3 linked regions of the Neodiprion lecontei genome follow. The protein of the gene in region 1 purifies or fractionates together with the protein of each later gene. This does not show direct contact. Links are inferred from orthologs where the notes say so. Each region holds a gene or a part of one and is shown in the gene's direction. Other genes may lie near its edges. The genes, in order: 3-phosphoinositide-dependent protein kinase 1, 14-3-3 protein epsilon and syndecan.

Region 1 (10,116 bases):
TTACGTAACCTACCGCACGACGAATAATATTATTATTTTTTTTTCCCTCTTGATAACGTCACCATGCTGATTTCGCGATTCGAGATAAGAGTCAAACAAAATATGACACAAATACCTGTTACCATCACCGCGGTTGCGTAACCGCGATATAAATCGGATTTCGATACACTTTGAGATAATGGGATCAGATCCAAATCATGGCCGTAAGTCCGGCAGGCAGCGTATAGCTTTCGCGTCAAGCAATAAGCAGCATAAATCCAAAGAGCTATCGGCGTATTGAAATTTTTCACGAGGTTGTTTGGTATCGAAGAGAACGATTAGCTGTTGCAAATTACAAGTAAATAACAATAACAAAAATAACAACAATAATAATAATAATAATGAGTTGTATGCATGTACGTATGTTTCTTTTCTGCCCGATGATACAGCCGACGCCCACGCGATAGCTTAGCTAAAGCCGATGAATCACGCGTCAATTTTGAAAAAGAAATACACTTAAAATAAAATAACAGGCTGATTTGCGATCCACGATCACCGGCGGGGATGGCGATAAGGTAGTACAGAAGAAAAAAAGAAAAAGTGAAATAAAAGAACGACAAATACGCGATTGAGGAATGAATGAGGGAATCGAAGCGGACTAGGGGAGACGATATGAAATAAAATCGCCTACATGAAAATCGTAATTTACGGAGGAATTTTTTTCCTCTTTCTTGTACCTGTATGTACCTACCACACATATATAAGGATGGGTATAATGTACGATACATCATGGATATGGTACACGCAGAAACTTTGACTGCGTATATATATATATATATATATATATATATATACCTACACATACATCAAGAATATTCAACAAATGTCGCGAAATATTCACATAGTTGTACCCCGCAAAGACAAAAGCATTTTCCATAAATCTTTGGCTATTTTGGCACAAGTCGTATCGCGGTAACGCGGCCTCGCATTATATTACACGAACGACCGTTTTCTGGCGAAAATGTCATTTGTTTCCTAGCAATGCGGCGGTATTTTCATTCGTTGACAAGTCTCATTTATACACGGTGAATCGTTCCATCAAGATAAAAAATAGAAATATTTTTTTTTTTTTTTTTCTAACAGAAAAAAAAATATTGAAACAGTTATTTAGAAAAATGGAAAGAAAAATTCGGGGAAAGAAGAGAGTAAAAAAAAGTGAGAAAACAGTTTGTCAATGTCTGTCCGGATACCCGCACCTGATATTTCTCGCCAGCGGAAATACACGCTAAATCATCGCTTCACAAGGGGATGGCCCAATCGCCCACAGTTCTAATTGTGAGAGTCATAGTAGCAATGACATAGCGCTTTGGTGCATAGTTATAAGTGGCACGGTTTAGTGGCCTATAGTTCCATGGAACACATAAATAAACGATGTACACAGACTGGAACAGCCCAAATTTTACGTTTTACAAATTCCGCAGAAAATTTCGTACTGAAAATTGCACGTTCCGAAAAAACCTGCGTTATTGATACAGTGAAACGCCTTTTTTCTTGCATCAGACAATGTGAAAGGGTGTCGAGTAAATTAATCCGCAATGCTTAATCGATCTCTGTCTCTGTGCTTTTCACAGGAAGCAAGAGACACCTCCAGCTTTAACTCCCGTAGCAGTGTGTCGCCTATTTTAGGAAGAGGATCGGTGCGCCCAATCCTACGATTCCAAGCTTTTTCACATCATAGCAGAATCGAGACTGCGATGCTTCGATTTCAACGCAGGGAATTTTTATCGTGGATGCGATCGGTATGTTTTTATTTTTCTCTTTTTCTGCAAGCGCGAATAAATTTTTTATGATCTTTGTTCGTTTGGATTTCTGCACCCTTAAAATTGGCACTGAACCGAAACTCTAGGACTTCAAGTAATACGGATTAGTCTATAAGTTTTCAACATAGATATGATGAAAAAACTTGTCACGATACCGCAAACCTTATGTCACTAATTTTTCAGCCTATTTTCGAATGATCGTTTCAGCGAATTGGACAAAATTGTTGCCTGAAATGTTGCAGAAAATCTTCTCGATTTAGTTTTTTTCAACTCTACCAACATTTTGCAGCTGCATCTCTTTCGATTCTTTTTCTAATATTGTATTGCATTCCTTTGGACGAATTAGATACAAGGCATTTTTGAGACCTTTATTCTATACGGTTTTTGGAATATAAAATTTTCTACTTCGATGATTTCCGATGCAAAACATATTTTCAACCGACTGTAACTTCCGAAAGCCAAACTTGATCATCAAAGTTAAAAATTGGAATTGTTCTCATTGAAAGGCATTGTTTAAATAAACAACTCGAAAGTGTGCAGCATGCTTAGAACAATGAAATTGTGCTCCCAAATTGAAAAACCAAATTCCCGCATTGTAATAATCATTTCGTACATTGCTGTCTAACTTAGGCACATTTTTATTCTTTCAATTCACGGAATGAACAACAAATTAATTTCAATCGGTATGATCACGGCGAACGGGGGGAGGGGGGTGTTTACTATTCTCATTTCTCTGTTAACAGACTCCTTACTTCACCGCGTCATGAAAGTATAACTACGTTTCGCTAGGCTGCAACAGCCCTCGTTGTTTATTGACACCGGGGGCCACAGATGCCTTATTCTTCTGGATAATATTTTACAACACGGCCTGTAGTGTCGACTATACCGAATAGAGGCAAAAAATGTGAAAACGTGCTTCGGTTTTTCAAGATTTTAAAAATTTCTTTCGTCCGAATTTCTCACGAGATATCCGTTCGATACGTTATTTGATATATAGTATAATAATTCCACTTATATAATAAACATATATGTACATTAGACTGTCTCAGTCATCAGTCTAATGTACATGAATGAAAGAAAACTCTTAATCGTAACGGAAGTGAATTCGTGGCAGAATAATGGAAATGAAAGTAATAAATTTAAAAAAAATTGCATATACCGCCGAACCCGAAGGAACAAATCAGCGGTCGGACGGAGTTTTAAAAATGTTGCGTATCAGTGACCGGGTGCGCCATCTACTCGCGTTGTGAGGAGGTGTTTAAAAATGGTAGTTTTTACCGGCGCAATCGGTGTGCGAGTTGGTTGAGCGCATAGCGAGAGGCGAGCCAACATAACCCAACCTAGCGTAAACATAATCATCACGGAAGCGAGACTGGAGTGCGGAAATCGTTGGGAAACGGGCGAACCTAGATCGAGCGAGGGTCGCGATTCGGGCGAAGATGCACCGTCGTCCGTAGAGGGGGGGATGATAGAATATTTGAAAATTCTGGGGCGCCGATCAGGCGTTAAGAGAGGGTTGAAATACGGCCCGAACCTTCCGTCGAGGCGACATACAGCCGCGCACCGTCTCGCGAATCGTCAAATTTCGCGTATGCGGATGTGGGATTCTGGATCTTACCTTGTCGGTGGGCCCTGGGAGGGCCCTGGGAGTTCGGCCAATGCTGAGGAGCGGCTTTGTCGATCGCGGCACTCGAAATTCGGACCGCGCGAATTCACTTGTCACAAATTAAAGTAACACCACTGACGGCGGCCATACTGCGATCAGGCATCGCTGGTCGTCCGGCAGCTCGGCTCTGGCAGCGTTTCGGGGAATCAGTCTCTGAGGGTTCGCCGACAAGCGTCGAGAGGGCGCCACCGTGCGGTCTGAAGGTGGCTTCGACCGGCCTGCCGACGGATACTCGCCGTCGAACGCTATGGCTGACAGTTTTTGCTATTTCAAGATAGCGGTTGCGTGTGTGACGACGGTGTGCGCCGAGTGTCGCTGAACCTAAAACAGCCTGTCCGCCGCTCCTTTTATTTCTGTGCAAAGTGAACCACACTCGACTCGAGATGTCCGAGGCTCCAGCACCGATGGTAAGTGCATGACATTACCCACCGTTCCCCCCCTTCATGCCCCTGTCAATTGACAACACGCCGGTCATTCGCGCCCGGCTGTGAGACAGCTGCTGCTAAAAAATCCAGCCTCTCGTCGTCGGCCACCCGGAGCAAATTATCGTCACTCTCCTTATTATTCTTCGCCACTCGTTACGTCAAGGTACGTACGTATGCATGTACGTACACAACCGACCGCCGGGCGCACGCGCCGCCTCGTCTTCCTTCTTTCCTTCCTTCCTAGCGTCGCTTGGCTGCGTGTGTGCTTGCCTGTGTTTACGCCGGCCGTCGGGGTCAATGTGATTCCTTATCAATGCTCAGCTGTGCGGTCGGGGCCGCCTCGCCTTCCCCTTCCTCGCCTCATTCATTCCGTTCGAAACCCCGTCGGCTTCTCTCTCTTTCTCTCTCCCGCCGCCATGTGCACCCGCCATGAGGCGTGCGTGGGTGAATTACAGCATTTAAACTCCTGACGTCACGCGTCAAAGTCGACGATCGCAATTGTCACGCCACATTGTCTCGGCGTTGCATCTCTCCGTTTACGCATTGTAAGATTCGTACACACTGTGCCCTAGATTGTATGTACATAGGCGGCGAACGTAATCCTGATTACGATGTCCTGATTTATTGGAGGAGGATCGATTATACAGAAATCAGTTCTTCGGCGAAAATGTTCTACAGAAATATTTTTCTACCGAATACTTTCCGACAGAAAGGAATTCGAGATTCGCATCAGAAATAAACCTGCATGAATTATCTTACAGAAGAGCTGTTCTACAGAATATTTTTCTACGGAACAGTTTTATAGTTATACACACTCAACACAATACCCGTACTACGAAACACAAATTCAACGCAGATAATTTAAATTAAATTAGATTAAATGAAATCAGAATGTATGATTTTGAATCGATTCGATGATTGCTCCGAATTTGCGTTGTGTCAAACACAATCTGTAAAAAAATATTCTACGGAACAATGTTCTGTAGAACAATTCTGCCCGTAGAATAATTCATGCAAGTTTATTTCTGATGTGAATCTTGAATTCCTTTCTGTAGTAAAATATTTCTGTAGAAACGACTCTATAGAACATATTCTGTAGAACATTTTCGCTGTAGAATTGATTTCTGTAGAACCGAACCCCATTCGATTTACTTCTTCCTGATTGTTTAGTGCTTTTCTCGCAATGATTGTTGTCCATGTTTCAACCTTCTGGCTATTAAGCTAACGTAAGAGTTGTGGAATTTTATTTGCTCGATGTCTTATTGACGGTATTATCTCGGAATGTTGATGCATAATAAAATCGTCTTATGTAAGGTTACAGACCAAATATTCACTGCCATTGGGGACAGTCTGAACGAAGAATTTCCAACTAATCGAGTTTAAGGAAATCGCTTCTATTTTACATTCCAAACGATTCTATAGTTGTATCAGGTTTTCTGTACCTTCATTTCACAGTTGTAGATACGACTCTATGATAGGTGGAAAAATATATTTTTAGCTGACAAAATCTTTGAAGAAAGTGAATCACCTCGTTCACAGCAAATCAACGTGATTATTTGACATACCGGTACGAAATTGAAAAATAAAAACTAAATATCATATTGAGTAGCATCAATGAATTATTGAGTAAATTATAGTTAAAATTTTATCAACCATATCGTTGGATCTTTTCACATCACGCTGTTATTTTTCGAATACTTTGCTTCCGTAATGTTTTTAGTACACTGTACGTATATTCTTTCTAGAAATACGCACTACTTTTCTTCTCATCCTGATCTTATTTTCTTCTCTTTTCGTATTTTCGTATTTTTGTATTTTTGTATAATATACACGAGACGCGCGTCGTCATGCTTAAAGTAAATATTCCCTGTTCTTAAATCCCTCCGTTTACGTAATCATTTGCGACTCGCCATTATGTCCACCACACGTGCTATTAACGGGGTCTCGTATCCCCGTTATCGCTTCGCCGGAGATCGCCGCAGGTGCCTGTACAAGAGTACATACATTTTATCGTAAATATCGCAATATTATTCGCAATCGCGATTTACGTGAGATTTAGCAGGGAGTACTTTATTATTGATTGACAGCTGTGAGATTTCCAACACGTTTGATACGCAGTTTGAGTGTGCAGCTGATTGCTATATAAATATGCGCCGTTGTACCGTGAAATGTTTGGTGTTTAAATTGTAAGGAATGGACGTCGAAACAACTTATTTCAGATTTTACTCTGCATAGACCATACGTACCAATTGACAATGTATATATAGATACTGTTGTACAAACTTTTTCCAAAAATCCAATCTCGAGAAGTGTAATTAAATTTTCCATGGCGATGCACATGATCTCGTGATATTGAAAATTTTATCAGTGCAACGTTTACGATGTGTTTGGTAAGGCCTTCGGTTCTACAGAAATCTATCCTAAAGAGGAAAAGTTCTGCAGAGAATACCGTACAGAATCTCTTCTACAGAAATTTTATCCCACCATTTTATACGCTTGTCTGAAGCTCAAAATCAACACACTGATATTCTTCAAACTTGAGCACTGCTTCGAAGTTATCGAAAAGTAGGGAAACAGTGATTTTTCTACGTTTCGTTACGTTAACGTTACTAACTTCCGCTAACATCAATCTAATGAAAATGTCATAAATCCTCAAACAATTTTGCACTAATCAGCTCATTGATATTACCAGTATTAAAAAAAAAGTGACCAATTATTTCTTTAGACCGTTATTCTTTCTCTTTAGGTGTTTCAATTATTTCTTGTCTTGGCAAGCAGCGTTTTTAGCGGAAATCCGCTACCGCGAGCACGAAGGTTTTTCAGATTTTGAACCTTCCGATAAAATACGGTAAAAACCGCAAAGTTCTCGATTACGATTTTCGTGATTAGAAATTAGGGCACCGAGGCTACCGTTTTCTCAATCGCAACCCGGAAACTCGGCCGGGCCAGGCACAACGTGTATATTTTAGATAAACACAGATGCAAACAGAGCCGGCGAGGCTCACGTGCCTGTGCCGTATTTGTTATGGATTCAAGCAAGAAGTGTCCCCTCGAGATGATTTCCATTACACAAAGTTCCGGGCCGTGGCCTCAAAGTCTGCATGCACGTAACGCGCCTCGAATCGAGGATGTTGTCATTTGCGTACTATCAAGTATTCGCTTTTGTTGTTATACGTCCTACGCGAGAGTATCGGAAAATATATGGGACACGATATCGAATTTTCAAAGACGCGAAAATTTCTTTCACAGAATTTAAACATGCCCGAGGTAGCCCAAACGTAGGAGAGCCAGAGCACAAAAAGTCAAAGTATAGAATGTCGTCGGTAAAAATGATGTGATGGTTTTCTGTACTTTACTTTTACACTCTTTCACTTTTCTATATTACAAGTTTCTTACTGTAACATTTTAAAATTTTGCAAAACAGATTTTCGCGTTGTTCGAAAATTCTACATTGCGATCACGTCTTATTTTCTAATATTTCCAAATCATCACCCCCACCTTTCTGCTCATCTCCATGTCTACTGCTCGATTATAATAAATTTTCAACCGCTGCCGTCGTCGACTCGCTTCATCTCGATTAATTTTTTTCTCATCGCACAATAAACGAACTGCCGCGTAATTGAATATTCACATATTTATAGTCATCCAGCTAGAATTTTACTCGGACATTTTTACGATTATAACCGTATAAATCATCATTACTAACGCTATTTTTTCCTCATATTCTCATCCTCATGCAGCAGCAGCGGCACCAGCGGCTTTTATCGTACGTTCACGCATAGCAATCACTTATCTCTCCTCGGGATGTGCCAATAAGAATTCGAAATGATTGTGATGTAAAAATACGAGCACTTAGCTCGCGCTATGTCGCGTGGCGCGCGTGTATCATGACATACGCGCACAGGCCTCTGTCGGGGCTGCGGGTTGGATGCTCTCGGGAATTGCTAGTACAGGGCCGTTCACCCTGTGACGGCCGACCTTGTCCCGCCCCCAGGGGTTGGAGCACTTTGGCCGCTGTCTGCTGCGCAATATACACACGCTGGATGCCCGATTATTGCTTTCCTGTTTCCGCGTGCGGTTCTTCTACGCAACTCGAATAAACGGATACGCGCGAGAGCGAATCGTTGTTCGTCGGTCGCGTTAAATTTCTGATCGTCGAACGATTGCATCAGAATACGGAGTGCAAAGGTTTGTCGTCTCTTCTTCTTTTTCTGTTTCTCATATCACTCGACGTGGGAGAAAATGCGTGATATCTTCGTCTAAATTAATCCGGAATGAATATTTATCTCCGTCTCGAATTTCTCTTATTCTTGCCCTCGTCGTTTGCTTTTTATTTCTTCTCTCCACTTTCAGGCTCATTTCATCCCGAGCTATGCCACCTTCTTATTATGTATATATATACGTATTTAGCCACCTTGGGATTTACAAAATTCAATCGGTAGTCTGACGCGCAGGCGCAACACAATTCGAGAAGTGAAATTGAAATTCATCGTACTTTACATATTTTTAAAAAATTTCCTGTGCAGATCTCTGACAAAGTTGGTTAATACTAGGCGTCGCATGTTCCAATACGTATTTTGTCTGTATTCTGCGTTTTTCGTTTCACGATATCAAAAAAGTACGCATTTCTTCAATCTTTACGTACGTATCTAAAATAAATTCGACGAACAAGGTAAAAGGCAGGCAAAGAAAAAAAAATTATTCAATAATTATTAATCAATTCTATACAATCCGTTGAAATTGTTTTTGGGTTTTTTTATTTATTTATTTCACGTCGAACTTCTCAGTCGTTGATATTTGCCGCATTTTTTCGTTTCATCTCTTCTTTCTCTCGGAGGCCGGACGGACGGAGGACTAGAGTTAAGCAAATGTCGGTAAGGTATATTTAGGAAGGGTTTAATGTGAGATGAGCGCCACCCACGAACGCTTGCGGCTGACTACTTATATTAGAGGGAAATCATTTCCCACGCACCGACACGTGCAGACTGCGAGATACGATAGTAGAAGATTCGTCTATCCAGGTTTCTGCGCACTTTCAAGGTCGACCTCTCTAAATGCCACAAGCTATAGCGACTACCGCAGCAGCTCTTTTATACTATCGGGTAACCGTTTTATGTCAGACTCGTTCGTGCCAAATAACCATTATACACTTTGCACACGTAGCTGTCGCTGCTTTAAGAGTTATCCGAAATTGATCCTGATACAGACTTACGCTGATCTTCGATGATACCTGCATTCTAGCTGCACACGATCGCTTATGCTTCATTTTTATGTGGAACCATTTGAGGGACCATTTGACCTGCAGATTAAGTGACGAGTGATTGGAAGATTTTGATAATTTTACGTGATATCTAATAATTTCACTCGTTTCACGCGATTTCTCTATAAGCTGTAATACTTTAGATGATTACAATTTCGAATATGCATAGATGAATTGAACTCGGATTTCACACAGTTTTCAGTGATTTCGAGCAACTGATTCAACCGTAATTTGTGTTAAACGATCAATAGATTTTCAACCGATTTCTCGTAAGAATCACTTGATGCAAAGTGGTTTGCAATTCTGCAATAATTGAACGGTCCCTCAGAAAAAGTCTTATTCCAAATAATGCTACTCACGATATGCACTTATAAATTACGCTATCTGAAACCTGAGAATAAGATGTACATAAAATTTTACAAGGATGATGGAATTGTATAGACAAGTTTCGATACTTACTTTTGCGAATATTCTGCACCGCCGCTTTGAACCGGCTCGTGGAAAACCGGGACGTATAATAGTAAAATTGGATCAGGACGGGAAGTAACAGCGATGCCTTTTGGGATCGATTCTCGTGACCGATGTCGGTGATGCGTTAACGATCAGGAAACCGCATCAAGGATATCATTGGGGAATACGCGTGCAATGAACGCGTAGGTGCGTAATCGGTGGCAACCGGTGATAATAACCCTGCATAACGATCGGCGATGGTTAGGTAGTAACAATGGTTCAGACGGACGGAAGGGGGCGATTTTCTTTTAGGACCTGTGCAGGCTTTCCAGCAGCAGTAGAGTCAGAACCAGCAGCGGTTACATGGCAAGTCCGACTCGAATATACGTACATTATACATACACACACACATATATATATATATATATATATATATATATATATATATATATCTATATATATATATCGATTCCCATTGTGATCGTCGGATATTGATCTTAATTTGAATCTACAGGG
Region 2 (13,323 bases), on another chromosome or scaffold:
ACATTTACCATAAATCAGTAAGTATGTACCAAATTGTTTGCTACCTGACAGTTACTGTTAAAAGTCTCATTCTTGTGAAGTGAAATAGAAATATGAACTGGAAATCTGACAGTCCCGTCGGAGCCTTTACTTTATTATTTAATCAATTATAAACGCAGTTTCATCTAAAATTGGGCATCCTCGGAGAATTTAAAAACAATTTAAAATTACAGTGTACTAAAAACATGAAAATCGATGCCAGTCAAATTCGTTGGAGTTTGTTTGTTTGACGAATTTCCTTTGCATCAAGAAATGAACTAAAATTATTTCATAGGATTTATAAAAAGTTTCACTGTTTGAAAAGTAGTTTTCGACTTGAAAGTTATTACTTTTTATTTTGAATGAATTTTACCCTTATTAAAATTGCATATAGTATTTTTTTTTTTTTTTTTGCGGTACTCTTTACTTGGCAACGTCTTGCAGGCTGAAATTTTAAAGAAAAGAGGATGCTTAAAATTCCCATGCTGCACAACTAATACATAGTACAGAAACAAATATGATATAATTTAATAAATTGAAATAAAAATAAAGGTGGCGTGTGAGCTTCCAAAATATTTAATTAGGGAAGCAACTAGGCTTTGTATACAATATTATTACGAATTTTTCCTGTCCCAGATTTACATTTGTTATTTAATATTATTACTTTATTATCACCATTATTATTATTATTGAAATGAACTTATTGTGTATCCCTATTCCCTGCTGGAATTACATAATAGTGTTGGACTGTTTTCATTAAGATTACATAATTTGAACTTGATTTGTATCAGTATCGGATGAATTGAAAGTACAGACTGTACGGAATTCATTTGTCCGCTTTCAACTTGTTTACGATCCACTGTTATTTCAATAGTGTCATCACACTTACAATTAGACATGATAAATTTTCAAATCGCAGATTATCCTCGAGATTATCTAGGCTCAGAAACGAAAATTTCAACATCTCTTACATTTATGTATATCAATCAAAGAATTAAGCACCAACGACTGTACTTCAAAGTCGGATGACATTGCCCACCAGCTTTTAACTACAAATTCCTCTCCAATGAATGTCCAAAAATGAACATTTGAATGATTCATATCGTGAGGGTTTGAGGAAATTGAAGCTCGATGAGATTGCCATTTGTCGATCACTAGCTGACACCTTGATAGATCAATGGGTGATTCATCTTCAAATTTTCACAACTACAGATTTCTACTTGCAGTATGTTGTACTGTTATGTTAAATCCGTACGATTATTCCCAGGCTGTAATCTAATTTTAACTGTTGATAATTATTGAAAAGATGATACATTATCTGTATACATATAAATACAAAATAATTATTAAATAAATAATATTAAAAACATAAATAAATAAAAAAATATAACGATAATCTGGATAGCGAAAATATTTGGATATTAGAGCTTGTATAGTAGGCATTCGTTGAAGAAGAAAAAATACAACTGCTTCGCTATATGAAGTTTTTATTCCATGACAAGATTATTGAATATCCTTGATCACAGGTTCATACCAACACCCGCATTCCCCACTCTAGTCTCTTGACATTTTTTTATAAATAATGTTTTCCTATCGTCAATAAAAACTAATTTTATTATATGCGCATCGTGCGCGATGTATAAATTAGTATACAGGTATACATTTATACATACGTAAAAATACACGCGTATTTTTTCATGTGTATTTTTAAACTTCCTTACAGCCCGCCGGGCTTTAACATTTCAAATCACTCTGTTGGCTATTTGTGAAAATCAGCATTCGCTTTCTGACGGACAGTTCGTAATAATATTACTAATTACAAGTGTTAAATTCGCATTCGTATTAAACCGGTGCGTATCATTGCAGAAAAATTCACTAATCTTTATCGTGGATGGGGGATTGAAGTTATTTTAAAGCGGCGGATTTACCTGGAAAGCGGACCTACTCATCGTCATACGGCACTAACGTGACGTCACGCGTAGTAATACATTCCACGGCCGAATCACAATGAGTCTTCGAACCTACGCCAATGGGACTGCTTTCGATTGTTGGCGGGCGCCGCCATCTTGGTCAGTGAGCTTGTAAGCAGCCGTCCGAGGAGGTGTCCGTTTTTCGGTGATACGTATCTAGTGCGAATTCTCGAATCCTTTCAGCGACCCCGTGAAATCCGCTAGCATCCAGGATGTCGGAGCGGGAGGACAATGTCTACAAGGCAAAACTGGCCGAGCAGGCAGAACGCTATGACGGTGAGTCGTTATTTTTAACGAAATCTTTCGGCTTCCAACAGAAATTCGGTGAAATTCGTCGATGACCTCACGAAAAAACCTTTCCACAGCTAATTATTCCGTGGTCAATTTTTCCGGTTGTTATACTTGACAGACGATGGGCGTCCTCTCATGTATTTGCACACTTTTTTTTGCCACTTATTTCCAAAGAACTGTCAAAATCTAACTTCAAACGTCAGAACTGACAAATTCGCCTACCGCGCGCAATGCCGGTCCCTCGAGGTGACCCTCCCTTTTGCTTCCTACGCGTTTCTCTACTCTTGATCGGCACTTTAATTACAGCAATGAATAATTCTAGAGTTCGTCGTGGTTATGCCTCGTTAATCATAATCCATGCCGAGTGACTCGGGACAACGTTGCTAGGCGTGTAATCGAACGTGCGATAACCGCATTTCGAGTGACGCATAGACATGGGAAGGCAAAGCTTTTAACCGCACGTATCTATCAACTCGTGTCTAGGCATAAAATCCCTCAAACTTATCGGGATTATCTTCTTCTTCATTGGTTCTTTTTTTCAACCTTGTCCCCATGTCGCGTCTCGTCCTATAGAGTTCCATCATTTCTTTATTCCCGTCCAAAGTAAAGTATGGCTATTCGCTTGGGGACTTTTCCCCCCTCCCGTCTGTGGTGCCTTCAAAAATTACGCTCTACATCTTCGCGCAGTCGTTTACACGCGATATCGCTGTTTCAATTTACATCATTGCGTTTTAAGTAACAGTACAATAAGAACAAGTCCCGTTTTACGAATTCTTGAAAAGGAACGACGAAAAAAACACTACCATCAACTTTTCCCGATTTCTTTTACAATTGAGAACAATTGCGTATACGCAATGTCGTCTTCTTTGATTACTCCGGCAAATACATGCTATGTAGTAGGCTGGTACTCACTGTTTGACAGGAACATGCATTACCTCATGAGCTGTATATTATCTGTTAAGAGCTCCGTGAACGAACAGAAGAGATAATTGAAAATCCGCCCTACTACGGAGCTAAAACCCATTAAAATGTTGCAACAGTTTATCTGTGATGGCAAATCACTTAGATCTTCATTCAGATCCAAACGATATTTCATGATATCACTAATCTTCTTCACAAATATACGTGCTGTGATTTTGGAAAAAATATATAAGTACATTATTTTTAGGTAAAATTATTAATCTAATCTTGATTGGATGCCAATCACAGCATGAACCTATTAATGACTAGGCAAATATTTGAATAGATAAAATATTTATCAAGAAGATCTCAGTCAAAAAGGGTATCAGTGGAGGGTTTAATTTTGAGGGTAGTAAGAGCAAGCAGGCAGAGGGAGAACCAGGCAAGGGGATGAGTGAAGCAAGGGAGGTCGTAGCTGAAGGAAAGTATTGATCTGTGCCTGCTATCCTGTGTCCCTGTACACTCTCTAGCCCATGTACTTTATTCGTGTTAACTCTCTGGTCTTATCAATTCATTGAATAAAAGGAATTACTATGCTACATCAATCATGTATTTTATGCATTTTAGAGAATTATTCGTTTTGATTGTTTTATATGTGCATTTAATTACAGCTGATTAGCTTACACAATTTTAATATTGATTTATCGTAATGATTGCTTGAAGGAGTCTCACCTTTTTTTAATCCTCGTTAAGTTCTCGTTGCATAACGATAATATTTCCATTTTTCAAATTGCTACTTTGGTTGGAGAACTCTCAAGGACTTATCTGCAGGTCCATTTGCTACCGTTTCTCATTCGCTGCAAGAGACTTTAAACTTCATTTAAAGGCAAAGGGTTGCTATTCTGTTCCGTTATTTGGCTTTAAGAAACAGCTGTAAAACTTTTACATTAATCGTAGTTGTTACATTGCTATAGTGTCAAGTTTCATTTTTCTTCGTTTAAGATGTCAACACATATTAGATTTTAAGATGTCTAATTTTCCACTTTCGTCTTTACTTTTAAGGATAACTTTTAAAAATCTTATATGACACTTTAAATTTCCCAGTAAAATATGCTTTATACGCATATTTGTACGTGTCATCTCCAATGACCTAACAATTTTGAGAAAACGGATCTTGATTTTGATCTTTTTAACAGAATAATTTTAAAGGACATTGAGACGAATTTTGCTGTTGTATTATAGGCATTTCGAATTGTTGCAGGAATTTTCTTGTTAAGAAAGGTGAAACAATGCTTTATTTCCTTTTGCTAATTTTTTCTTGCAATTCTTTTACATAAAGTAGAGAAGTTTTTATCAAGAAATTCGAATTATTCAATACATGATTTACAAACCAAGTACTGGACCTCTGGTTTATATGTTATTTAATGAAATGCCAGCTGGAGCAACTGGAGTTCAAAAATTATATCACAGTGATTCTACGTAAATAATGAAATAGTGAATAAAATGGTGTAGATTGCAAACTCTGGATCAAAAAATTTGACAATTACCTCAGAAACTCCCAGTATTTCCGAAAATCACGGAATCACTGACATGGTACTCTGAAATCTATGAATGATTTATGAATCAGAAATACCTCAGAATTTTATTTATATGCATGTAACTTTGTAAGTGATTTTTTTTATTCGTTAGCTCTGAAAAAATTCTAATTTTGACAGTAATAGCTACCAATTAACTTACTATTTTTGACCCCTTAGTGACACCTAATAAGTTCTTGACTTAGATAAAAATAAGAAAACACGAGATAAATAAACTTTGTTTGTCCTCTTCATCAAGTCTTCATTTTCGTTTTTACACATCTTTCATCAGCTAAAAACAGAAGTGTGTGAAAAAATTATTGCTCTTGTCTTGAGAAAGATGTTCCGTAAAGCAAAACTGCATCCTGGCATTTGTAATCCAATGTTAGTTAATTGTATCATGTGTCATAAATTTGACAAACGTTTGAACTTTAGTCATAATATTTGTATTGCAGAGATGGTCGAGGCGATGAAAAAGGTAGCATCCCTCAATGTGGAGCTTACCGTCGAAGAGAGGAACTTGTTGTCCGTCGCGTACAAAAATGTGATTGGTGCGAGAAGAGCCTCATGGCGGATAATCTCTAGTATCGAGCAAAAAGAAGAGAACAAAGGGGCTGAGGAAAAATTGGAGATGATTCGCCAATATCGTTCGCAAGTTGAAAAAGAACTCAGAGACATTTGTGCCGACATACTCGGTGTCTTGGACAAACATCTTATCCCCTGCGCGTCAACCGGCGAGTCTAAAGTCTTCTATTACAAAATGTAAGGACTGTAAATTTATTCTGTTTTATCATTATCTCATTTTCCATATGACATTTTTACTGAGAAACATTGATTCGGTTACAGGAAGGGTGATTACCACCGTTACCTTGCAGAATTTGCAATTGGTAATGACAGGAAGGAGGCGGCCGAGAACTCACTGGTTGCATACAAGGCGGCGAGCGACATCGCAATGACAGAATTACCACCTACTCATCCTATTCGCCTTGGACTGGCTCTTAACTTTTCCGTGTTTTACTATGAGATTTTGAACAGTCCCGATAGAGCGTGTCGCCTTGCAAAGGCTGCCTTTGACGATGCTATTGCTGAATTGGACACCCTTTCAGAAGAGAGCTACAAGGACTCAACTCTCATTATGCAACTCCTCAGGGACAACCTCACCTTATGGACCTCGGATATGCAGGCGGACGGTAAGTCATAGTTATTGTTCTATTGACTCAATAAGGGTTTATGAAATGATATTCTAAATCTTGAAAATTCGTGAACAATATAAAAAGAATTAGTCTTAGATGGGGCATTTTCAATTTCATATCTAGAATCTGAAGTAGAGCAGCCAACTGTTCAAGGAGATGGTGCTATACCCATTACAAGTGATTCCCATCCTTAAGAACACTGTCCAACTCCCCCTCCTTATACCATCATCAGGTTAGAAATATCTCCTTGCTGATCAAGGTCAATTTAAACCAAGAACACCTGTTAATTGAATCGAACAATCAAATTATGAGATTTTCAATAGGATAATTTTCTCTGTAGTTTTTAGGTAAAATTATCATTGATAAAAAATTTGTATTTTCTTGTATTACTACTTAAGTTTTCAAAGATAAAATTGAGCTACTTTTTGTAATAGGCGAAGGCGACCAGAAAGAGCAGCTGCATGATGTGGAAGACCAGGACGTGTCGTAACTTAAGTTGCAGTGAGTGTCATTCGCGCATACAAATGAAAGAAAGAAAAAAAACTGTTAATAATTCTTAAGCAAAAAAAAAAAAAAACAAAAAAAAACAAAAAAACATACAGCGGGTGGGAGTTCAGGGTGGGGAGGGAAGCTCTTTAGCTATCATGTGGTCGTACGTGTGGTAAAACACACATGCGTTCACTCCAAAATCATCCAATCACATGTTGTTGAGTTATGGAGCACGCAGAAAAAGTATAAGAGACGCATCCTGCGTATTAGTGAGATTACAAGCATTTAACAAAGTGAAAATCCGCTGCCTGTTGCAATATTAGTTCCTGGCTGAGTGTAGCTTACACTGTTGTCCTGGGGACCAATTTGCTATATGTAGTTTTCTACATTGCGTACGCTTGGATCCAAATTCTTGAATGCCAATGCGCCGAGACCCTAATTGATAATCAATAATTATGTAATCTTTTAAAAAAATGTAGTTGAACTATCATTAACGTGGATCATGAGAAGAGGTTAGAAAAAAACATAAACATTAACATTTACTCCGTGTAAGAAAAAAAATTGTTATTACCATTTTTTTTTTTACAAACATTCTTATGCTATTGATACGTGCTGAGACATTAAAAATACGAACACTTTGCTACTAATGCAAAATTTTTCATTTTTCCTTCTTTTTTTTTATAATCATAACATTACGTGTATCTATGTGGCGCATTGAAATAAATTATTTTATCCATCATCACCTATATTCATGTACATCAACGTAAATTAATAATCAAACTTATCAATTTGTGAATCTTCAAAATCAATTCGTAAATTGAGAAACTAATAGCTCTCTTTTTATTCGCATCCCTTTTTTTTTCGTTCTTTCTCTTCGTCTTATCCACGTAGCTTAATACTTTTTCTGGAGATTTTACGTAAATATCAGGTATTTCTGTGAAGAAGCTGATGTCTGGTAATCCTGCATGAAACATCTGATGGTGAACTTTTCATTGTATTGCATTCGTTGATCATAAAATGTCATGGAGAGTACCACAATATCTCTTGTTCCTCATATACTTTTACTTACGTAAAATCTGTAAGAGTTTGAATTAAGCGTACGCTTGCAAGACGGACACCGGGCATGCTTAAAAGAAACAATAAAATAAAATTGAAAGAGAAACAATTTGTGGAAATTGGTGTGTGGCGTGCCCCTACATTTAAGTATTATAGCAGTAATATTAATTCTTAATTATATTATAAATATATTACAAAGAATAACATTAAATAATATTGATAATACCATAAGTAAGTATATTAATAATAATTTTAATTGTACAAGGAGCCGATTGAAGTAATTAAGATTAACTTTTGCAATAGTGAAACGTTATATACTGTAAAATTATGAAAATACCACGGGGTATTTAATTATTGAATCTAAAAACAAGACATTTAAAAAAATAACGTGAAAATAAGACAAATGCCAATGCTGACAATGTAGGCAACACACACACGCAATTCGATAAACACTTAGAACCAGTAAATCATATTTTGGAATTCGCATGCGTTCACTCTGTATTAGGAAATTAATACAATACACCAATTACGACTTTTCCTGTAAAGCCACACATGAAAACTGAAAATAAAGTCATTATTACTGTCTATTTTGTGGCTTGTTCATTGAATTTCGATGGAATTAATTCAATACTGTAGACTTGCGAAGTACTGAGGTTTGCAACTAATGATTTAATCTTAATTGAAACTATTTGCTATCTCTGCTGAAATCAAAGGTGTTTGTGTCATATACAGGTACTTTTATGATGTATCAGTAACAGCCCAATCATATTAACCAAATTCAATTTAGATCATGGACATATCTATAACTGTATATGTGTAGGTGACAGAGAATTAAGTTGGAATTGAATCAAACTAGTAGTAATTAAATGCTCATTATCTTTTTGTTTTTCATTACTATCGTCCGTTGTTATGTATTTTGCTAATTTCAAGATGTTCAAACGCAGAAATTCCAAGGTGATGAAGTAAGTTTAGGTGTCTGGAATTTTGATTCACCTAATATAATATGGAGATATTTTTCCCTCTTGTTTTTATCCAATTCACTCATTGTATTGTGTATCGAAATATTAAAAGTAGACATGATCTGAAGTTGAAGTATTTATAACTGTCACATTATATTTTGATATAATCAACATGACTGAAATATCATTCGTGCTATTATCACATCATTTATTCGAGGATGTTTATCTGCAATTACATGATAAAAGGACATACAAATTCACGTCTGATACTAAACGAATGTGTCTCGGGTTTCAGTGGTATCATTATCACAGATTATTTAAATTTTCTAAAACTCAACAGTCTACTTGTACAATATAAGTGATTCTGCATTGTTGATTCTGATTGACACAAAAAGAAGAAACGCCCTTTCTTGTTTATAAAACGAAAGGAGGTAACTTATTTCAGTTTAATATAAATATATATAAAATTTGATATCTAATACAATTAAATATCTTCCACGGAATTCAAATAAGTACATATACTTCACAAGTTAAGTAAATTACAGAATAACTTCTAATTTTATACATGGGTTAATGTCTCCATTTTTTCTGTAACACCACGTTTCGATCATTATTTATTACTTTACTTAAGTTGCGTCAAATTCGTTATTTGTTCTTCTGAAAAATTTTCGAATTATCTTGCTAGTATCTTGATTACACATAAATAATTTTTTCTTTATAAATATCTTCTCACAATATTTTTCAGTAACAAACTTGGCATGAGCCGTTGTCATGAAATAAAAAATTTTCTGTACACTTAGTACTGGTAAACCAGACCAGGTCGCTAATTCTAATCTTCTAATTTTATACATGAGTTAATACCTGAAAAATGTTTTCGAACATCTCATATAAATCATATTTGCTTACTTATGTTTCGTAAAATTCGTTATTTGTTCATCCAAAAAAATTTTGAATTATTTTTTTTCTTTATACATGTATAATAATCTTCTCACAATATCTTTCAGTAAAATTTGCTGTGCTCTTAATTCTAGTAAACTAGACCAGGTCACTGGTCTCTCAAGTGTGATTCACTTGAGCATTTATATTTTAGTCTACTAATTTCATATGTTCACAGTCCTAATATGATCAAAAAATTGTATGGCATTATATCATCAATGAGTCAGACTTACTGTGTTTTACTATGCTGAGATTGCGGGGACTGTTCTTGGACAATTCTACATCACTGTACATTGAATTGGATAAAGCCCGCTTTGGTCCTCGTTTATTGATGTCCACCTGTCGAAGGATTCTACCCAATGGACTTTCTATCCCTGCCATAATCGGAGACAAACTGATAGGTGTGAGAGAACGTGCTCTCGTTGACAGTGATGTACTTCTTGGTGATTTTGAACTCCGGTCAATTGATCTACGTCTTGCCGATCTTAGTTTCACACTACGTAGCATGTCCAGCGAGACTGCTGGACCACGAGGGTGTACAGGTTTGTGCAATTTGTTTTCCTGGAAGTGAATGTTCATGATTTTTTTCAATTCGATGGAAGGTTTTGTATTATATAGCATGTTTCATTGGTAAATCTAATTGATGATTGATGACTTCTTTGGAAATATCTTGATTAGAGTCAGCTGTAAAGATTGGACCAAAATACAGAAATCGAAATTACTTACGAAAATACATTGACCATTCGCGATATTCTGAGTATAGAATAAATAAATTTTATGCCTTGTCGAAAAATATCATTTTTATAGCCCCACAATTTAAGACCTTACCTTGGCTGATGGTGCTGCCTTTTTCAAAGTAACTTTCAACAAATCTTCTACTGTAATAGCTGGTCTGCTCTGATGTAATGGAGTAGAACACTTTCTAGTGGGTGTTTTGAGTCTCCTGCTACTCTTTGGTGTCGTGGGTATTATTGGCTGTAATGGTGGTGGTGGAGGTGGTGGAGGTGGCGGAGGTGGCGGTGGTGGTAAGGATGATTTCACATGTGTACACTCCAACGTACTGTTTATTGACTTTAATTGATCTGATAAAATCGTGTTGTTTTGCACAAGATTAATATTGGTTTCGCGCATGCCAGTAACTTCTGTGGTCAAGACTGAGAATGCCACTTCACTTTGCATTCGAACCTATAACAACATTTATTTATTTAGAGTGTCAAGTTTCAATGTAGTGATAAGCATTTCTTCTAGATAAAATTTAAATTTATAATTAGTATGTAATGTTGGCGAAGTGAAGTTGTCAATTTTTCAATGAAATGAAAATACCTGATTCAGCTCTGCTGTAAGTTGCGTTACTTTTTCACTTAACATTGATATTGATTGTTCGTGTTCACATCTTATCGTCGTGACTAATTGAGTCAACTTGTCGACTATTTCATCCGAGTCATTTCTTTCAGGTTTTCGTACATTGGTTGCAGCTATACTTTGGAGCCATACCCATCCCTTTAGGAAAGAAGCAGCTAAGTTACCATCTTAGAAGACTTAAAGTCGTATGTAACATGGCTTACATATATTATGCTTACCTTTCTAAGTAATTCAACAAATTTTTTTGTAATCCATATACAAAACTCTGTAATTTTGGTTAAAGGTACTATTACAGCTCTTATTTGCACTGCCGGAGGTTGTGCTATTCGTAGGCAGTACGTACAGTCTGGATGTGGTTTGGCATAATGGAGCTCCTGGGATTCTATCTATGAGAAAGGTTCAAAAATTAAATAGCTAATTCATTTTGTCGGTCGGCAGATTATGAGAGCACTTTCTCGTCGTACCACCGTTATGATGATCAAAATTTTAACTTTGGATGCCCTGGAGAGCCTTAGAGCTCCCAAACAGTGTCAAAATTAATACAGCTAAAATTCAGTTCAACACTGAAACAGGAATAATTATATTTTACCTCTGACGCAGACACTTTTGCATTCAAATCTGATACTGTTGGCAAGTCAACAGATGCTGGTGAGCACGAGGAACTGCTGCAGTATTTTTTCAGAGCTATAGTATATTCACTGTCATCCTGCTCCGTAGCAATCGGTTTACTTTGAAATTTTAAATTTGGGGGGTGAGCTATAGATGTTTTTGGCTTGTTCTCACTTTCAAAATGCAATGCTGTTCGACTCCTTTTGGCTGGCGGTGAGCTACTTCTCGAATAATTGATTGCGTCATCTCCATCCGCATTTGACCAGCAGTAAGTATCTCCATTGTCATAATATGTTGACTGTGAATTAAATTGGTCACACAAGTTTGTGTTACTAGCTTTGTCATTTATATAATTAGTTGGCAACGGTCCAGGTTCAGATTGTGTGTGCAGAATGTCTAATTGTTCCAAGCTTGGAAATATTTGTTTCTTTCTGTACCAATTCTCATCTACTTTCAGCAACATTTTATCAGCTTCTGAATATTCCCCCCCTTGGTTACATTCAAATCTAAAACATCTATTCACTGAAGAATTCGTTTGGCAGCTCTTTGAACTCAAAGGGCTATTTTTTTCCAAGATACATGTATCGGAATTACTTTGTTTGTTCAGATCATTGAAATTAAAGCGGTCATTAGTCTCGTTAAATTCGTTATTTTTAGGCTGATCAAAAGCCGTAAGAGTTATGCTACTTTTTTGCGTATTATTGACAATGTTGTCATGCGTTTCAGACCTTGCTGCGCCTTCGGCTTCTAATTCGATTATCACAGCAGAGTCAAGAGATACAGTTTTATTCATTAGATAATTATCGAGATTGGTATGACTATGTTCAACTTGAATATCCTTCAACATGGAGGAAGTATCGTCACAACGTTGCGTCTCTGATATCACATTTTTGAAGCTTATGTCGAGCTTTGTGATGGATTCCATGTTCAATATTTGTCTGGTGTCACAATCTGGTATTTCAAGGTCAAATTTGGATCTTGAAATTTTTCCAATTAACTTTGGACTCAGATCCTTAAAATGCAACGGGTCAGTCGAATTTTGGGAATTACACATCACCGCTTCAGGAGTCCTTAGATTTGGATCTGGTGTATCATGATCTACTCCCAAACTTTGGTCAAGATAGTCAATTTCAATATTTTCATTTGATTTATCCAGTGTAAGACAAGAATCTTGGAGAATTTGCTTTTGGCGAGCTCGACGGTGGTTCTTACGCCTCGTCATTTTTGCGGCTTGTCGATAGTTTGTTCTTAAAACGAATGGATCCAATTTTCCAGGAATTGTTACTAAAAAATAGTGACGCTTCAAATAACCGAAAGATGCAAAAGCTTCAAAATAAAGATAGTGTGGTTTATTTTTCTAAGGTGATAGTTTAAATTTTTTTAACTTCTAACTTCTAATGCGATAATTTGAACATCATAATTCATTGTAAAGATATCACTAATTACGAAGATCTTATTGTGCTATAGGAATAAATATTTAATTATGAGTTGATGTGTACCTAAGCATGAATTGTGGTTTCCAGTGTGAGTTTGTGTGATTAATCGTAACCCCAGTTTATACAATAGTATGGCATGTAGTTTAAACAGTATTTGGTATGAATTACCTTGAGCTTTAAATCAGGAGACTTATGAGAAAAAGTTTGCTACACAGAAAAGTCTGGTTGACTCGTTCAGTATTTTGTCACGACCGATGCAAATTTGAAATATGTTAACCGACTTTATTACTTCAGACATTCTGTTTATTTACATTTTGAGAACGTTTGTATGACAGGTGTCTCTGATTGGGTGACAGAATGCTTTTGACATTGGATTGGAGAGACAACTAAACATTCCTAAAGTTTGCTTGACTCACAATATTTCTGCTAGCTTTTTTTAGTACACACGACCATGATAATAGCGCGTGGAACGGATTGGGTTTCAAAACTATTATTTGAAAGCCGTACCGTTGACTGAAGAATATACAGTT
Region 3 (10,280 bases), on another chromosome or scaffold:
TTGATCACGTAAGATTCGCCAGAAAATTTTTTGCGAATGAATTCTCGAATGTTATAAAATAACACTCTGAAATTATACACAGCTGTGAATACAGGCTTGCACAGCCATAACACCTGCAGGTAAGTCAAAGCTGTGACAGTTGAGTATTTAATATATTGTACATATTCCCTTGAATATTCATGAAATTTTAAATTTTTGGGAGCTGAAAACCCTTCGTTGTCTACACTAATCGAGGAAGTTCGAAATTTATGCGTCAAGAATCCCTTGCCAAAATAATCACTTCAAGCACGTGATATCACGGATTCTCATGAAAGCTGAATGTTAAACATTCTTATTCACTGTGTATATATAAGAAGAAAAATTATACAATCCTTGGTCTACCGTTTTTCATTTTTATCAACGAATCCCAAAGTTATCGAGAAAATAAGTAATTTTTCATTAATTTATAACATTTTATTAATTTCACACGTATCACCGAAATAATTTGAAAGATTTAGTTTGCATTGCACCCCTGAATCAAATTTGCGATAAAGAAAGAAATTGTAAACTCAAAATAGCATAACTGTACAAAAATTGCAATTGCTACAAAAATCGGGGTTACTTGCATAAGTATAAATCGAATCGCGTAGAGACCGACCATAAGACTGACTTGTCTTCATGCTTTTACGAAGCTTCATAGACGATCTAATTGTAAACTTAAAATATTTTCAATATATCGAGTAGGTGACGATCTGCCAACAACCTTACAGAATATTTTTGGAGTCAAAAATTCAAAGATTGTACTGAAAGTTATGCCGTTTTTACACATTACGAAGATATACATATAAGGATTGGTAATCTTATGTAAAGGTATAGTAAGGAGAGTCAAAAAAGACCGGCGGGAAATTGCAGTATTTTGCTTTGCCGACTCGATTTAACATTCGAATCTCACAAGATGGGTCGGTAAGTGCAGAGCAATAGAATTACCTACGGATCCACCCAGATGGTGGAAATATTAGCTCACAGCTGAAGGTCTTTATATATCATCAGTCAACGGATTCGGTGGTTCGATTTCTGAATACATGGTGCAATTTTCATGTATTTGCTTATTGTCATCGTAGCCTGCAGTGCTGCCACCGCTTATGACGGGTAATTTTGTAACTAACGGTCGTGTCCAGTTCGTGGACATTCCTCGGCAGTCAGTATTCTTCCTTCACTCATAACCCACGTTTCGAACATAATTTCATAAATCTGTGAAAATTCATCGTAGTGTTGCACAGTGTTTCTGAATTCCTGATCGAACATGCAGCGTATACCAACTGTCTTATCGCGGAACATGGCGTTTCTCAGGTACTAAAAAATACACAATATTTTATTATGATTACCGTACCAAAGATCGACAGATCGAAATTATTCTCCCGGCACAACGGTGCGTAACCGGCTCACCCTGCGCTATTTTCGCTGCTCTAGCTCTTTAGCCGTCTGCTACTAGTTGCTGGCTGATTGTCAAGCAATTTACGCTACGGAATGCAAAACTTGTGCACATACGTTGCTCGTTTGTCGCAATGTTCGACAAGACAGACAGTTTCGTTAATGATAAATCGAATCACATGCATAATCCGTAGTCAACTCAAATTTATAGTATTACATAACCCAGTCATCCAAATAAAGCAGGTATAACGACCTTACGCAACCCAATGAGAAATGCATGTACATAGGTGTGTATTTACCCGACACCTACCAAAATGCGTCACCCCCAAGTGCGTTGTTGGTAGAATTTATTTGCGTCCTATTGCAGACAAAGTACGTCGTTGGCCAGAAGTGGTGGGGGCCAAACCCAGACTAGGCATACTCCAAGTGTATGGTGATTTATTAACCCTTCAAGTCTGACACACTCTTCGATTCAAAATAAAAAATTTTGTTTCAACTGGTGAACATTTCTTTGGGTTAAAATACACGAAGACTGGGAGTTTTGAAACAGTTTGTTTTTCGATATCTGTAGCCAAGTAGATATACTGTATAATATACTTTGACAAATTTTTTGAGAATTTTCTGATCGAAATGTACAAACATATTCAATAAATAGCCATTACCCTACCATGTCAAGTATACCCATCACTAAAGAATTAATAAACTGCATGCAATTATCCACGTAGGCTATCATCCCTCGTTACAAGATTTTCCACGATGATTGTATCCTGCTATTTTTTCAGCCACATGAGAATGTCTGGTGAACCAGGTAGTGGCGCAGGAAAGGGTGGTGGTGGCGGTGGCAGCATCAGGGAAGCTGGTGGAAGTTTTGGCAAGATGGAAGCAGCACGCGAAGACCAATACTTCTACAATCAGGTATAACGCTAGCATAGGATAGGATAGGTGTTTAAGCAGTCCTCAACACTATTCTTCATTAACTTGAGAAATGAAAAGTTAGTAGGAGTTTGTCAAGTTGAAATAAATTCAGAGTTTTGTAACCTTGAAATGATTATAAAAGAAATAAGATTGCAAAAAGTGAACATATTCTTTTATTTGTTACATTTTCTTACAAGCAAAGAACGTAAAATGAAAAAATAACAGCTCTTCCTAAAAAAAAATAAAAATTATTCTTAACGTTGATGTGGTGATCTTCAACCTTATATGTCACTATCAATGTTTGATTTTATAAAATTAATGACTTTTTAAGATATATTTCATGATACTCCTATTAACTGAGGAAAATTTTTTTTCTCAACTTTGTCATTATGTTTCAACAATTAGTTTATGCAATTGTTGCAAAATTGACTGATAGATATGTTGATTGTTTCCATGGAGACACTGCTTGGAATGAATAGAAAAAATATATATTTTACTATTGCTGAATTATGTTAGCAAAGATACTTCGAAGCTGTCTCAAATAATTTACTGAATGACTTGAACTTTTGGAATGGCAAAACCAAATAACGAAGTTGAAATCAGTAATGTTGACGTAACGACAGATCAAACAAAAAATTTATATATTTCAACTCTCGTATTAATTTGAAAGAGTTGAGTTTGCAAACCGTGAATGTGTTTTTCCTTATTATGCCTCACCAAATGTTATATAATCCCAAAATTGGGCAGTAAGCAGACTTTTTATAATTGCAACATTGTATAAATGTTACAAAATTCATTTTCACAAGATATATGTGAGTAATTACCAAGATCAAAAAGTTAAATTTCAATAGCCAACATAAGAGGTTGCGTCATATTTGTATTCCATAGGATAATTCTCACGCACTTTAATATGCAGTCACTGAATTTTCTTTTTCTGTTCTAGCAAAAGGAGCAGTTGAAAAATCTGCGTGACGGTCTTCATGATGAGATCTCTTTTCACGAGGAACAGATAAAGCGTCATCAGGAGGCCATAGAGCGCCACAAGGCTCGAATTGGAAAGATGGAGAAGTAAAAATGTATGCAGGATTTGACGAATAGCTGAACCGCCATACATCAAATTAAATCATTGTATTTTTAATGTCAATGATAGTCAATGACATCTTGAATGGAATTTTTTTTTTTTAAACTATTAAATCTTTAAATATTATGTAGAAATAAAGTATACAGCTTTTCATAGTTAAAAAAGTTGTACGAACTCATATTTCATCATCCAAAACTATGTTGTAATTAAGCTTTGAGCTATTGCACACTTAGCATACTAGCTCCCAGCTTTAACTGAACTAATTCAACGATGCAATTCTTTTCTATTTCTAATATTTTTGGTTTTGTAAGTTCCAATTGCTAGTATAATACTATCTGTATCTGAGGTTTTATCACATTGTCACGTTATAAAAATGGGAATTCCACTTGTTTGACTTTCTTTCATTTTGTACGATATTGCTTCGGTAGCCTAAATACTGTAAAAATGCAGTTCAAAAATCATTGTCAGGCAGATATGCAATACCGTTTTGAACTATTTTACTTCAAAGTACACTCGCGTAACTTTACGAGCGTACAAAATAAAAATGATCGTTGAATACGCGGCTATTCTGTGCAAAGTAAAAAAAATATAAATTCATTTCGAAAAACAACTGAAACTTCTTATCCCTGTTAAGGTGTTAACAGTGATGAATATCAGTTGAAAATGACTGTAACCCAAGTTCAAATCTCGACAATACGAGTCGAATAATATTAGCCTCAGTCAACGACGCATCTGATAAATAATCTGCTAACGTTATAGGGGTTTGTCATAATATCGCCACGGACCTACCCTATCATAGTCACGCATCGATCGAACTTCTGCCGACACGAGAGCTTCGCCGTAAATCCGCACAGGTGGCACTACCGGTGGCAAGATGGCGCGAAATACAGAAGAAGCGGGGACGACCGTCGCGCCCTCAGTGTCGTAGGATTCATTGATCAGTGTGGTGTGTTCGCATTGTTGCTCTCGAGTTTTGGTGGTTTTTCGGTTGTATTTGATTAGTTTTGTATTTAACGAAACAAAGTGAAACTCTCGGGCTCAGTCCAGGGCCCTCCCCCTCCCTCGCGAAGGAATAAACAAAAATGCACCCAAGGATATACCTGTTTCTGGCGTTCGGAGGCGTTATTTTATCGGGATGCAACGCTGCTGCATCAGAGGTAAGTGAACGTCTGTCACTTTTCATTTTCCCTCGGTCCTCACCCCGTCTAGTCTCTCGCATCCCGAGTCATTCCACTCGAAGCATTTCGATTCATTTTTCATCACGAATAATACCTGCGAAGCTTACCTCGCTCGTCCGTGTTCGTTGAATATTTTTTCGACACCTTTCATCCCTACGAGCAGTTCGAAAACTGGCTAACGCGGCAGACGACGCGATCAATTGACCGACCCTCGCGTTACGGGGGAAAATGCATCGCTTATATACGGATGTGGCTCTAGGAAATCTCCGCGAGAACGGAGAACCATGTGTGACGGACGCGTCCTATAAGCGGAGCGACGAACCTCCCCGCCAACCCCCTCGTGCCCTCTGATGCCCTGGTAAAGAATATTTCCAGACCCGATGACGGGATATTACATCGCGTAAGCAGAGTCGATTTAATTCAATACAATCCTGGTCTACGTCCCCGTGATTGAAAACCGGCAGAAATTGATAACAACGATAGCGAAAGGCCATGGTTAAATGATAATATATGCTCGATTGTAAAAACAAACGAATAAGGAACGAGGCAACGCGCGTCGAGATGTAAACAATCGCGTCAATGAAACACCGGGGAGAGATGTTTGCAATCTGGAAAACCAGGAGGAAGGTCAAGAAAGTCAGGGAGCTTGATTACAAAAGTCGCATTTCAAATCTGAATACCCGGTAATCCTAGTTTCTTTCTTACTTTTTCATATCGAAGCTACATTACCGCGACGGAAAATGATTTCTGGGAAATGCTTGCGCTAAATCATTCATATTTACTCGACAAATTACAAATCTTTTTATATCTCACTTAAGGCTGTTTATGGACTGTACAAACGATGGGTTTTGTATTTAACTATTTTAAATTACATATAATGTGGAAAGCGATGAATTTTGTAAACTGCTTTTTGCACGAACTCTGTTGATGCACTGTTAGAAATGCGGTGTTATATGTAACAACGAAAATATTCTATAGAAGTTCACACCATTTTAGTGTTGATTTTAAAACCACTTGGTGACCAGAATCGAACGATTTACATCGATGATGTTTAATTTTACACTAATCAGTGTGGACTTATATTGACACCGTTATTTTTCTCACAGTGTGAACGGTAGCGTTTTATCAAAACCGAAAATATGTTCCATATCTGAACGTGCAAATTGCAATATGGCACAACAAAAAACTCGACGTTTTTAACCGCGATGTTCAAAGAAACGAATAAAAGTGAATTTTATATTTTTTCACACATTTCATTACGAGGTTTAAATTCGTAACGTTGACTTGAGGAAAATTTTTCATGTTAATCGCCTCTTTGATGCAGTCAACTGTAAACGAAGCTTGAAATTAGGAATTTGACTAAGCAAAGCCTGTCACTTATATTTTGTGAGACGTAGTTGTTAGTTTGCTATGCTTCGATATTTTAACTTTATACACTTAAACCCCGTAAAATAACCCATTCTTAGTTTGTATTTGTATTAGTAGTTTGTATATTTGCGTACCAATGAAAGATGGTTTTGTTTCTATTACTTTTTCACCATGGGAGAAAAAATGTTACGAAAACGTTATGGGTTATAAAATAAATAAATGACGGTTGTATCAGACCAGATTAGACTCGCCAGAAAATTGCGGTAACTTCCGTAAATATTAAAGAATTTCGTTATTCTATTAAAGGGAAGTTTTCTACTTGACTGCCGTCAAGGAATATATTTCCAGCCAGCTACATAAGCGTTCGGAAACGCGCGTATACAAGAATGCATCGTTGCATAATCCATTTTTCAGAACATATTACATTCCAATCATGATTTTTACCTCAGTTATGGTGTTGCTGTAGCTTCTGACTAATTAGAAAAACACGGAATCGCAAAGTGGTCAGGCAATTTATGGAAAGGACAAAACATTTTGTAATTAGTGAGGGAATTTTATAGTGGCATGATAGAAAAGTAGAGACTAGACAAGAAAAATATTTTCCCTCACGTGCTCATTTTCATGACCCTTAAATATATGGATACACGGATTTTTGACAACTGATTAGTTCGGAGTTTTATTTATTCGATACTCCAATTCGTACTACTAGTTGGAATTTTACCCAAGAGAAATTCATAATTTGGTGAGGGAAAATCGGGGAATTTAAGAAAAAATATTTATAGTGGGTATTATTGAAAACCTTGAATTTGCAATCGCACAGAACGGTACTTTTTATGCAGACTATAATAATAAAGCAAAATACTTGACTAGAAATAGGACAAAAAGTTGATAATCTGTTTGCAATTCGTTCATGTGGAAAAGTGCCTCCGAATTTTATAAATTTTGACTATCAGAAAATGTTCCAGGTGGGTGAGCGAACATGAGTTAAAGAACACAAATGATTATACAAAAGGGTCGAGAAGTGCTCTTGCAAACGAGTGAACATCACACATCATACATCATACATAGTATTAAAGTTGAAAACCATAGTTTGGATGTTCGGATGTTCAGAAAGTGACGTCATCCAAAATTTTTTTTTCTCTCGACGTCATCCATCTATAGTAATCGTAACGACGAAAATCAGCTAGCCGAATTCCTCAGTCTCGAAACAATCGCGCAGTAAAGCGGACGGATGAGAATCGCGCTCGGCAGATTTCGAGTACCGGATTCTCTCTCTACCTCCTGGACCCTGCGCTGCGGGTCCGCTATCCGGTGAAACTTGACTTCCAGAACAAGCGCTCCGTAGTTCTGGCCGCCCAGGTCCTTGACCTGGTGATTTTTAACCTTCAGGACTAATTTTCGTAGTTCTGGCTGTCCAGGTCCTCCACCCGGTGGATTTTGACATCCAGGAAAAGCGCTCCGTAGTTCTGGCCGTCCAGGTTCTTGACCTGATGACTTTTGACCTTCTAGACTAATTTTCAAGTTTACAAGTTTGATTATTGAAAACGTCATGTTTTGTACCATCAATCCGATATGCTTGCTTCAGATAACATTTTGAATTGGAAAAGAAAACCGAACGACCAGGATTAACAAACTGCGATTGGAGAGTAGTTCGAAATAATAAAACAACGAATTTGTTTTTCCATTTACACATCTTGCAATTCATTCACCATCGTTTAGAATTTAGTGTAATCAATGAATCACGTACGTACTTGGCATACTAACAGGTAAAAGCGACGAACTTGTTTAATGTCGTCAAAATCCTAGTAAAAGATGGAATTTCCAGTCAGTCAAATTTTTCTTTCTTTCGATACTCAAAGTGCGTTTTTGGCACAGGGGCTAAAGAGGCGAGGGGCAATTATTCATAAAAACTATAAGGATGCAAGCAAAGTCTTTCGGTGTAATATTCGATGGAACAGACTTTCATCACGCGCGTGATGATTGCTTTACGTAAATCATGGATGGGGGGATATTCGTTTTGCTCGCGAGGGTTGCGGACACGAAGACACCCCTCACGTGATTCACTCGGTTTTTGCATAGGGTGCAAAGTGCGTGTGTTAGTGCCTGTGAGAGGTGATTCGTTCGTTGGCTGGTTTGGCAGTGGCGTATTTATAAAAACGTAGATCTGGCGTACAAACCAAACACGAAAGTATCCAAATAAAAATGTGTTACAACGACGAAGGTTGAAAGTAAATAGCTACCAAGGTCGATCGATTTGAATTCAATTTAAGTTTCGTTGCTTCACGTTTTTTCAACTACGCAAAGTCCGCTTATCAACAAGAATCTTAGGTACGAGTGATTTTGTTCGTTCCAAAGTTAATTCTTAACAAATTGACCGAGATCGATTTTCATCGTCGGTCTTCAATTTGTGTAATAAAACCAATTTACGCAAGACGGTATAGGCTATGATTAACGAACTTATGTTTCAATAAAAAAAAGCATATTGAGACGTTATTTTAAATTTATTTCTGGTTATCTCCTTAGAGTATCCCCCGTACTTATACGTACGAAATTAGCCCTGCTATTAATCCATAACAAAGAAACAACACGAGCATGGCATTCCAAACAAGAAAACAATAAAAAGATATCTTTGTAAGGTCATTAATATGAATAGATTTTTTTTTTCAAGTTTAATTTGCAGTGTTTTTCTTTTTCACAATGATTTTATTTCAAAGAAGAGACATAGTTCTCACATACAATTCAATTTATATTAATCAAATTGGGTCCCACCTTTGAAACCCTGATTTTCATATTCAACTGTTTCATAATTTTTTCACTCGACTGTACGTCTGCAGAGATGCAGCCTTAAGCGGTTGGGCCAACCCACATGGAATAGTATAAGATTCAATGGAAACGATTGTCGTACTAATGTGAGGGATCCCTCTCGCCAGAAGCCCACGCCGACTGTAATTACACCATTTTAACCTCGCTAATGCCGGATCTTTGCCGCTATAACGAAATTGCGTTTGTATCTCCTCAATCGCTGGCTTGTCGCGGCGACGCGGTGTACTTAGACTGGGAATTATAGAGAAAGGAAAAAGAAGAAGAGGACAGACGGAGAGAAAGCGAGAGAAGAAGAGTTGGAAGGAAATTCATATATCTTTTCAATTACCTGCGACCTCCTTGCCCCGCGATTCCGATTCCCTGTAGGTGTAATTATATTTCACTTGTATAAGTTTGCAGGGAATTGGACTGCGAGAATTTTTTTTTTCCCGTTATACAACCTCACCAACTCACTCATATCTATGCATTAATTCTTTTACTTTTTTCTTCATATATTTTTCTCGTTACTCGCCCCTTTGTGGATTTCCGTACTTTCAATTAATCGCACGACTTGTTCGTTCTACGACCCACTCCAAAGTTTCCCTCATCAATCGCATAATGTCAAGTGCAACGTGCAGTGCGGTGCGCCAGAACTAACAATATGCAAGGGCGAGTTCAGCCCTGCACAACCTGCAGCTTGACTCGACTCGATCGATAAAAACGAAGAGCGTATAACCCGTGAATATAATTATAACGACCGGAGCCCTCACAATGAATTTTTGTTTGAAGTTAATCGTTCATTTCCGTTCACAGATTCTTCACCCATGTTTCATTCCCGCGTTTCTTTATCCAGCAGCCAGCCAAATTATCCTCCCTGAACGCTGTCAACTGTATAACAAACTACGATATGATGTCGTATTACGATGTACAAAAAACATGTGTATCAAAGCTGTAAGATCATGTCGAGAAATACGATGAGATGTTTGAGGTATTTCGTGTAGCGTCCATTACGCAGATAAAGAAAGAGAAGAAAGATATCCTTTACAGTTTCTTGGGTGAGGTAAAAAGAACCTATCCCTGCTGCACGTCCGGTCCTCGTTGACCCTCCTCGGTGTCGCGGATCGATTGCTCGTCGCAAACCTTTCTAACAGTGTAAATATGTACTCGATCTCGTAGCTAAGTTGTGTCCGCAGCCACGGCTTATCCCGTAACTTCTCTATGCTTTTCAAATCTTTTTTTTCTTTTTTTTTTAAGAGGATGAAAATACTTCGAGCAATTTGAGTTTGAGGGCTTTTATTATTTATAGTTGCAAGAACATTTTTGAATTTTTCAATAGAGATTAATAACAAAATAGCAGCATGGCGGAAAATTCTACCGTTTTTTTTTAAATTAGTCGTACAGCAAAAAATGGTGAAATGAAGCCAAAAATTTCAGTGGACCTGATGGGACATTTTTTTTTTTTTCGAACTGATTAGTATATCATGGACATCTATTAGACGAAAACTGTAGTAGCGGACTTGCAGAAA

The links.
Region 2: the proteins of 3-phosphoinositide-dependent protein kinase 1 (region 1) and 14-3-3 protein epsilon purify together in Homo sapiens (affinity purification with mass spectrometry; 3 studies listed by BioGRID and IntAct, with this or other methods). This does not show direct contact. The link is inferred for Neodiprion lecontei from reciprocal best matches to the Homo sapiens genes PDPK1 and YWHAE.
Region 3: the proteins of 3-phosphoinositide-dependent protein kinase 1 (region 1) and syndecan purify together in Homo sapiens (affinity purification with mass spectrometry; 4 studies listed by BioGRID and IntAct, counting the BioPlex papers as one, with this or other methods). This does not show direct contact. The link is inferred for Neodiprion lecontei from reciprocal best matches to the Homo sapiens genes PDPK1 and SDC2.

What each region holds. Positions count from the first base shown.
Region 1 is NC_060265.1:25,017,121-25,027,236, reverse strand, and holds the start of 3-phosphoinositide-dependent protein kinase 1, read left to right. Parts: upstream 1-3,741; 5' UTR 3,742-3,848; coding exon 3,849-3,872; intron 3,873-10,116. UniProt on the Homo sapiens protein: Serine/threonine kinase which acts as a master kinase, phosphorylating and activating a subgroup of the AGC family of protein kinases.
Region 2 is NC_060262.1:34,812,400-34,825,722, forward strand, and holds 14-3-3 protein epsilon, read left to right. Parts: upstream 1-2,071; 5' UTR 2,072-2,200; coding exon 2,201-2,264; intron 2,265-5,208; coding exon 5,209-5,515; intron 5,516-5,599; coding exon 5,600-5,943; intron 5,944-6,069; coding exon 6,070-6,140; 3' UTR 6,141-6,178; intron 6,179-6,380; coding exon of another isoform or gene 6,381-6,436; 3' UTR 6,437-8,078; downstream 8,079-13,323. Other genes in the region: uncharacterized protein LOC107226083, read right to left, coding at 9,594-9,947, 10,215-10,571, 10,710-10,886, 10,967-11,134, 11,338-12,579. UniProt on the Homo sapiens protein: Adapter protein implicated in the regulation of a large spectrum of both general and specialized signaling pathways. Binds to a large number of partners, usually by recognition of a phosphoserine or phosphothreonine motif.
Region 3 is NC_060263.1:25,406,017-25,416,296, forward strand, and holds the start of syndecan, read left to right. Parts: upstream 1-4,319; 5' UTR 4,320-4,488; coding exon 4,489-4,563; intron 4,564-10,280. Other genes in the region: ATPase inhibitor mai-2, mitochondrial-like, read left to right, coding at 1,684-1,697, 1,778-1,843, 2,193-2,325, 3,269-3,397. UniProt on the Homo sapiens protein: Cell surface proteoglycan which regulates dendritic arbor morphogenesis.